2 linked regions of the Coturnix japonica genome follow. The protein of the gene in region 1 purifies or fractionates together with the protein of each later gene. This does not show direct contact. Links are inferred from orthologs where the notes say so. Each region holds a gene or a part of one and is shown on either strand. Other genes may lie near its edges.

Region 1 (4,304 bases):
ACCCAGCTCTTGCCAGGAGATGTCCCAGATCTGACACAGCAACAAACGGTGACACGTGAGGAGAAAATCCCCCTTCTCTCTCCAACTCTGCCAGCTGCAAAGAGCAGCGAAGCTCATACAGAGTGTCTCCCCCAAACATTGCACCAATGAAGACTCCGTCTGGCTTAAGAACGTGGTGAATCTACAACACAGATGGAAAAAGAAAATATTGTGCTTTTAATATCAATAAATACCTGGGTGTTTGTTTTTGTTTTTTTTTTTGTTTAAATGAATTTAAAAGCAATCATAACAGCTTCGATACAATTTATGTAATATACTGCGGTCTGTAATTTTCCTATTCCATAACAGGGTGCTCATATTCGTACAAAGGGGTGACATGTTTGAAATGAAGGAGGAATTGAAACCAGGAGAAGATATTCCTTGCTCTTGCTCCAAAGGCAACCCATTGGAAAGGAAGTTTTCAACAGCATCACCTCAGTTCACATTAGTTCCTATGATCTCAGCTGTTGCAATGGTGAAGTACTATACAAACAGGCTTTGTGGTTATTTATCCTAAATTGAATCGAGACAGCAAGTTAACAGAAGCATCAACTGATAGCCCTCAAACTGACAGAAACATTGCAAAGAACACCTGAGTGTAACACGAGCTGTTTTTGTGGTAGGAAGCGGACAGAGCTCCGAATGCAAGTAATGGTAAGTGTTGGTTTTTCATTTAAGAAGTTGTATTAAAAACAAATCCTCACCTCTCTAAAAGCTTTAGGAAGGTCATTCACCCAGTGTAAACTGTAACACCACAAACGAACGTCATGAAGTTTGGGGGAAGGCAAAAAAAATACGTTATACATAACATATACATACAATTAACAAACAACTTCTCAGCCTGCCAAAGTTCCCAAACACTTGCGGAGAATCGTGGTGATACTGAATGAAATTCATGTCAATAGCTAAGAGGTTGTTGTGTTGGTTTTTTTAAGGACTCGAAAAGCTGCAAATCAATTAATTAGTCAAAATACAGGAAAAAGAGTCCATGTATTTTCATAGAATGTTATGGATTGGAAGGGACCTCCAAGCCCACCCAGCCCCAATACTCAGCCATGTGCAGGGCTGCCCCCCAGCAGCTCAGGCTGCCCAGGGCCCACTAACCTGGAGCATCTCCAGGTTCAGGGCAGCACAGCTCTGTGCAACAGTGCCAGGGCATCACCAACCTCTGAGTAAAGAATTGCTGCCTAACATCTAACCTACCCCTGCTGTTTAAGGCACTGATATTCTGACAGCAATGTGAAAATACATACATATATAGCTATTTAAATAAAGAGTAAAGAAGCGATCGTCACATACCTCAGGCTACTCACAACAAGGTCAAACGTGTCTTCTTTGAAAGGCAGGAACTCCTCATCAGCCACCACGCTGACTGTGGGGATGTCAGACTCTACAGTGTTTTTCTAAGGTCAGGTTAAGGATAAGAAGCGCCATCAGCAACGTACCGTTTGTGCAGCACTGCGCCGAAGTGCTTCAGCTCTCAGGAGATACTTACGAAAACATTCTCCGCAATATCGACCTGAACGAGTTTTTCGATGACTTCCTGAAACGAGACAAGTCACAGCCATCAAAGGCAGGCTGGGCACAGTGGCGTCAAGCATGAAGACATCTCCTTAGCGCTCCGGCAAAGCTCTTTCTTTGGGCATCCCGTTGGCCCCGTACCTGGTTCAGGTGCTGGGCGATGTACCCTCTCCCACAGCCGAGGTCCAAAGCGAGGGGGAACGTCCTGCGGGACAAGCGTGGTAACGGAGTGTTGGAAATGTCCTCAATAATTCTGGTCAGGACAGTATCTCTGATAAAAGCAGTTTTTATTCACGATTTCAATGGCGGGCGCCCTGATGGCAGAAGCGCCACTATGGACATGATGTTACAGTTTTGATCCCTTTTCTCCCATATGTTTTCCCCTCCCTTCTCCCCTTTGGTTGGGTATTACAGGTTACAATTTTACCCGAGGTTTGCATTTGTTAATTACATTCTGAAATTTGTTAGTTCACTTGCTATCTTGTCAGTCGCCATCCTGCTGTTTCTGTTTCCAAGATGTCTCGGTACTCTTATCGTATTGATATGTTGATTCCCTTCAAAGCTTCTTCTATTCTGTCCCAGACGCCTTTGTTAAACAAAGTCCTTCCCGATATCTCTTCAGGCACATCCTTAGGTATGTCACGACTTGTATTTTTGTACAACAAAACATTAATACATACATTGTTGCTAGTTTATACAGGCATATTGTTAATTATTTTAACTTCTCTTTGGATCCTTTATTACTCAGGTCTTATTTGTCCAGCACCAAAAAAACAGTAGTTCCTATTAGTAGTAGTTATTAAATTCAATTAAATTAGTAGTGTCTATTTCAGACAGCTGGACAGACAGGAGCTGCAGTCTTTGTAGCTGTGATTTCTACCTAATAACTACAAATTCCTTTACTTATATAATGAGACCTTGAAATAAAATATTCTTATCTTATTCTAAATAATTAAACAGCATTTGATTCCCACAGGAGGAACGCTCGTACCTGGGGATGTCGAGCACCCGGTCCGCCACGCCGCAGCCGACCTACGGGAGAGCAGCCGCCCGTCAGCACCGCGCCCCGCACGGCACGGCCCCGCACAGCCCCATCCCGCACCTCATCCCGCAGGTACTCGTACTTCGCCGGCTGCAGAGCCGCCCAGTTCTTCTGCTTCCTCTTCAGCCGCCGGTCAAACGGGCTCCGCGCTCCCGGCGATGTACCGCTATGAGGGGGAACGTTGGCCTTGCGGCCCGGCTGTGCCCACAGCCGGCACCGGCACCGCGGGGCGGTCAGGACGGGTCGACAGAGCGCCCGCACCGCCGCCATCATCCCCACTACGCCGCTATGTGCGCACGCGTGGGATGAGCCGCAGCTCCGCCACCGTGTGGGACATGGTGGGAAATGCATCGTAAAGCTTTGGGTTCACAGCTCGGTTATAGCTATTGGGAATCCTGATATCCCAAAGTGATACCTGTGTGTGTACCTTTGGAATCATAGCATTATAGAATCACAAGGTTGGAAAGAGGGAAGATTTAGGTTGGATGTTAGGGGGAAGTTCTTCACTAGGAGAGTGGTTAGGTCCTGGAACAGGCTGCCCAGGGAGGTTGTGGATGCCCCGTCCTTGGAGGTGTTCAAGGCCAGGTTGGACGGGGCCCTGGGCAACCTGATCTAGTAAAGGTGTATGTTTGGTGGCCCTGCCAGGCAGGGGGGTTGGAACTACATGATCCTTGAGGTCCCTTCCAACCCGGGTCATTCTGTGATTCTGTGATTCTGTGAAAGGACCTACAAGATCATCTGGTCCAGCCATCCTCCCATTACCATGGCTATAGCAGACCACTAAACCAGATCTCATAGCTCCTCATCCAGCCACCTCTTTAACACTGCCAGGGACGGCGGCTAAATTTAAGTCCACAGGCCAGGACCTCAGCCTTGTGATCTGTCTCCTCCATCTTTCCACTGAGCCATTCACTTATCAGCTTCTTTTTGTCTTTTTTTATTTGGCATTTTGCTGTCACTGTCAGTGACAAAACCTGTGTATGGGAAATTGGTAATCACAGCCTGAACCTCTGATTAATCAGCTGAGGTGAGTGTTGGGTCAGCTGTGGGAGCACAGGTGAGAGTAATTTAGCTGTGCTCCTGGAAGGGGTGGAGCTTGACTCCACCTCCTCTAGACCTCATTTAAGGGCTGACCACCACTAAGGCAGCATCTCTTGGTGGTTGCTCCTTGTTGAAGATTGTCTCAGTGGTTCCCAGCAGACTGAAGGCTTCCATATGGGTGAGTTTTTCCTGTAAATAACCTTTTGGATATTTACTACTATCTTTTCATTATTGTCACCGTACAACTTGTCATACCACAGTTAGTATCCTGATGCCCTTCCACAGCCATATCACCTTCTTGTTTATCACTGCTACACTGTCTTTCTCCAGCATGAGAATCCTGAAAACACTCTTTGATCATCCTTGCCAGTAGTTGAGATAGCAGGTAGCCAGCTCACCTAAACAGGCTCAGACACCTTGATGGAAAATATTCGCTATTACTTTCTGTGGCCTGCATAGACGCATATGAAGATACCACCCTGTGTGCCTTGCACAGGGACTCTAACCTCCTAGTGCCTGTAGGAGGCTGAGTCAGATAGAGTTGCTGCTACATAACATGTTCAAGTGATTTGGGTGCTGCTAGTAATTAAAACAACAATCAGAATTTAATAATCCCAGGCCTAGTATGATAGCTGTTCATGTGGAAAATGCTGTCATAAAA
Region 2 (2,961 bases), on another chromosome or scaffold:
TGTGTCTGCTCCAGCAGCCAAAGTCTGCTGTGTGCCTGCACCTGTTGTTTGAAGGACATCCTTGAGTTAATGCAGCACGGAGACATAGAGCGACTCAGCCCCATTTCTTCACCAGGAGCTCCCACCCCGCTTCCCTGTGCGTCTCCTCGTGACTGCCGTAGCCTTAACCCTCAGGACTTCATTGTACAAGTGAGCTTCTCCATCGCGCTGTCTTAAAGCACAACCAGCAGGAGCCCTGCACAGCAGGGACTGGGCAAGGCAGGGGCTCAAGAGCACATTGCTCAGTGTTGGAGCCTGCAGTGTGCTTTGTCACTGGCCTTTCTATAGGAGGAGCCTTCCCTTCTCACAGTGCTGGGGCCACCCGAGGACAAGGACACGCTCCTGCCCCGTGGTGCTGCCATGCATTTGGTGACGTGGGTTTGTTGCTGAACGTCTCCGTGGCATCGTGGGTTTGTTGGCATTTGTCTCCATGAACACAGAGGACCAAAGATACCCGGCCATTCCCCAGCAGCCCAGGAGGGGCAGCGCATGGCTGTTCCTTAACAGGGACCGTCTGTAGCGGGGCTGGTGGGAGACGGAACCGTGCGGATCAATAAAATAAGCTGAAGCATTTCGATCTGATTTTAGTGCTTTAATAAACGGGTTGATGGGGAAAAGCTGCGTGGGGTGAAGGAGCCTGAGGTTGGGGTTGTAATAGAGGCCAACCCTGAGCTCCAGCTGTCAGCTCCATCACTTCGGTCACCTCCATCACCTCGGTCAGCTTCATCACTTTGCCGTCGCCGCCGCCTGCAGATTGACCTGTGTGAGCTGGTCCCGGTTCCTCCATCCCCATATTACAGAGTCACAGAATGACCCGGGTTGGAAGGGACCTCAAGGATCATGTAGTTCCAACCCCCTGCCTGGCAGGGCCACCAAACATACACCTTTACTAGATCAGGTTGCCCAGGGCCCCGTCCAACCTGGTCTTTAACACCTCCAAGGACGGGGCATCCACAACCTCCCTGTGCAGCCTGTTCCAGTTCCTAACCACTCTCATAGTGAAGAACTCCCCCCTTACATCCAACCTAAATCTTCCCTCTTTTAACTTCAAACCATTTCCCCGTGTCCTGCTATTGTCAGCCCTTTCCTGGCAGTAAGTTCCCCTCAGGTACTGACAGGCTGCACTGAGGTCACCCCTCAGCCTTCTCTTCTCCAATTGAACACACCCATCTCCCTCATCCTGTCCCCGTGGTGCCGCTGCTCCAGCCCCGTATCCCGGTCCCATATTGGTCCGTACCGCTCTATGGCAGCACTCCCGCAGCGCCCAGAACTCCCTCACACACGCGTCCCGTCGCAGCTCCGCGTTCCCGGCCGATGCCGCGGCCACGCACCGCCCGTAGGCTGCGGCCTAAAGCGGGGACAGGAAACAACCGGAGTCACCACAGCCCGACATGGCTCCCATGTGTCCCGGTGTGTGCTCCAGGCCGGGCCCCACCTGCTCCCCGCACGCCGCCAACACAGCGGGGAAGCGCCGCAGCCGCGCTCGAGCCCGGAGCCAAACGCCTCGGCCCGACATCACCTCATGCACAGGGCGCCGCCATGATGGCGGAAGAGCTGTTGGCTGCCCGCCTCTTGATAGGAGGAACGCTGCGTCTGTCAGCGCTCTGCGCGCTTGGATTGGCTGGATTGAAAATCCGGTGGTGTGGATTGGTTGCGCGCAGCACCCGCCTCCTGACCAGCTTCCTGTAGCTCTGATTGGCTAAGAGGACAGTTGTTTACTTCCTGCTACCGGCGTCAGTCCCGTAGGCCACTTCCGCCCGAAGCTCCGCCCATTCTGAGCGCTGATTGGCTGATCCTGTGAACCTCGCTCTCTCATTGGTGCTCTGCCTCTTCCTGCGGGCGGAAGTTTGAGGCCGCTCTGGGGCCGGGTGGGAGCTGAGCGGACTGTCATGGCGGCGCCGCTGCGGGACCGGCTGTGCTTCCTGAGCCGGGTACGGGCCGAGATGGGGGATGACGTCATCAGGGGGTGGACTGACGTCACCGTGGGGGGCGTGACGTCACTGATTATCCCTCGGGGTGATGGGGGGGGCGGTTCTGTGGGGCCTTTTAGGATCGCTGGGTTCTCACTGTGCCTCCTTTCAGCTGCCGGTGTTACTGCGGGGAACTGCGGACCAGGAGGAGCCGTGCCCGGGGTTTGTGTTGGAGGAGATCAGCAGTATCTGAATGGGGAGATATGGGGGGAGAGAGAGACAGCCATAACACGGGTCATGGGGACTGCAATGGGGGGAGATCCATCCAACCCTAACACATGTAATGGGGTGAGATCCATCCATCCTTAATACACATAACGGGGACAGCAATGGGGTGAGATCCAGCCATAACACATGTAATGGGCCTAATGATGGGGTGGGATCCATCCATCCCTATCACACATCATGGGCACAACAATGGGGTGAGATCCATCCATCCCTAACACATGTAATGGGCACAGCAATGGGGTGAGTGAGATCCATCCCTAATACATGTAATGGGCCTAATGGGGTGAGATCCATCCATCCCTAACACACATGTAATGGGGACAGCAGTGGGGGGAGATCCATCTATTCCTAATACACGTCATAGGCACAGCAATGGGGTGAGATTCAGCCATAACACATGTAATGGGCCTAATGATGGGGTGAGATCCATCCATCTCTTAACACACATAATGGGGACAGCAATGGGATGAGATCCATCCATCCCTAACACACGTCATGGACCTAATGATGGGGTGAGATCCATCCATCCTTAACACATGTAATGCGATGAGATCCATCCATTCCTAACACACATAATGGGGACAGCAATGGGGTGAGATCCATCCATCCTTAACACACGGCCCAGAGATCTCCCGTGAGTCAGCAGGGAGCAGTCAGTGTTTGCTGGAGTTCCTGCTGGGCCGGCTGCGCGGCGGCTCCTGCCACGTCAAGCTGAAGGTACGAC

The links.
Region 2: the proteins of NDUFAF5 (region 1) and NDUFAF8 purify together in Homo sapiens (affinity purification with mass spectrometry; 3 studies listed by BioGRID and IntAct, counting the BioPlex papers as one, with this or other methods). This does not show direct contact. The link is inferred for Coturnix japonica from reciprocal best matches to the Homo sapiens genes NDUFAF5 and NDUFAF8.

The regions. Positions count from the first base shown.
Region 1 is NC_029518.1:10,854,213-10,858,516, forward strand, and holds the start of NDUFAF5 (arginine-hydroxylase NDUFAF5, mitochondrial), read right to left. Parts: upstream 2,902-4,304; 5' UTR 2,876-2,901; coding exon 2,663-2,875; intron 2,593-2,662; coding exon 2,552-2,592; intron 1,766-2,551; coding exon 1,702-1,765; intron 1,583-1,701; coding exon 1,535-1,582; intron 1,443-1,534; coding exon 1,339-1,442; intron 784-1,338; coding exon 744-783; intron 182-743; coding exon 1-181. UniProt on the Homo sapiens protein: Arginine hydroxylase that mediates hydroxylation of 'Arg-111' of NDUFS7 and is involved in the assembly of mitochondrial NADH:ubiquinone oxidoreductase complex (complex I, MT-ND1) at early stages. May also have methyltransferase activity.
Region 2 is NC_029533.1:5,096,538-5,099,498, reverse strand, and holds NDUFAF8 (NADH dehydrogenase [ubiquinone] 1 alpha subcomplex assembly factor 8), read right to left. Parts: upstream 1,609-2,961; 5' UTR 1,556-1,608; coding exon 1,475-1,555; intron 1,388-1,474; coding exon 1,277-1,387; intron 787-1,276; coding exon 766-786; 3' UTR 617-765; downstream 1-616. Other genes in the region: AP-4 complex accessory subunit tepsin, read left to right, coding at 1,929-1,970, 2,122-2,194, 2,863-2,954. UniProt on the Homo sapiens protein: Involved in the assembly of mitochondrial NADH:ubiquinone oxidoreductase complex (complex I, MT-ND1). Required to stabilize NDUFAF5.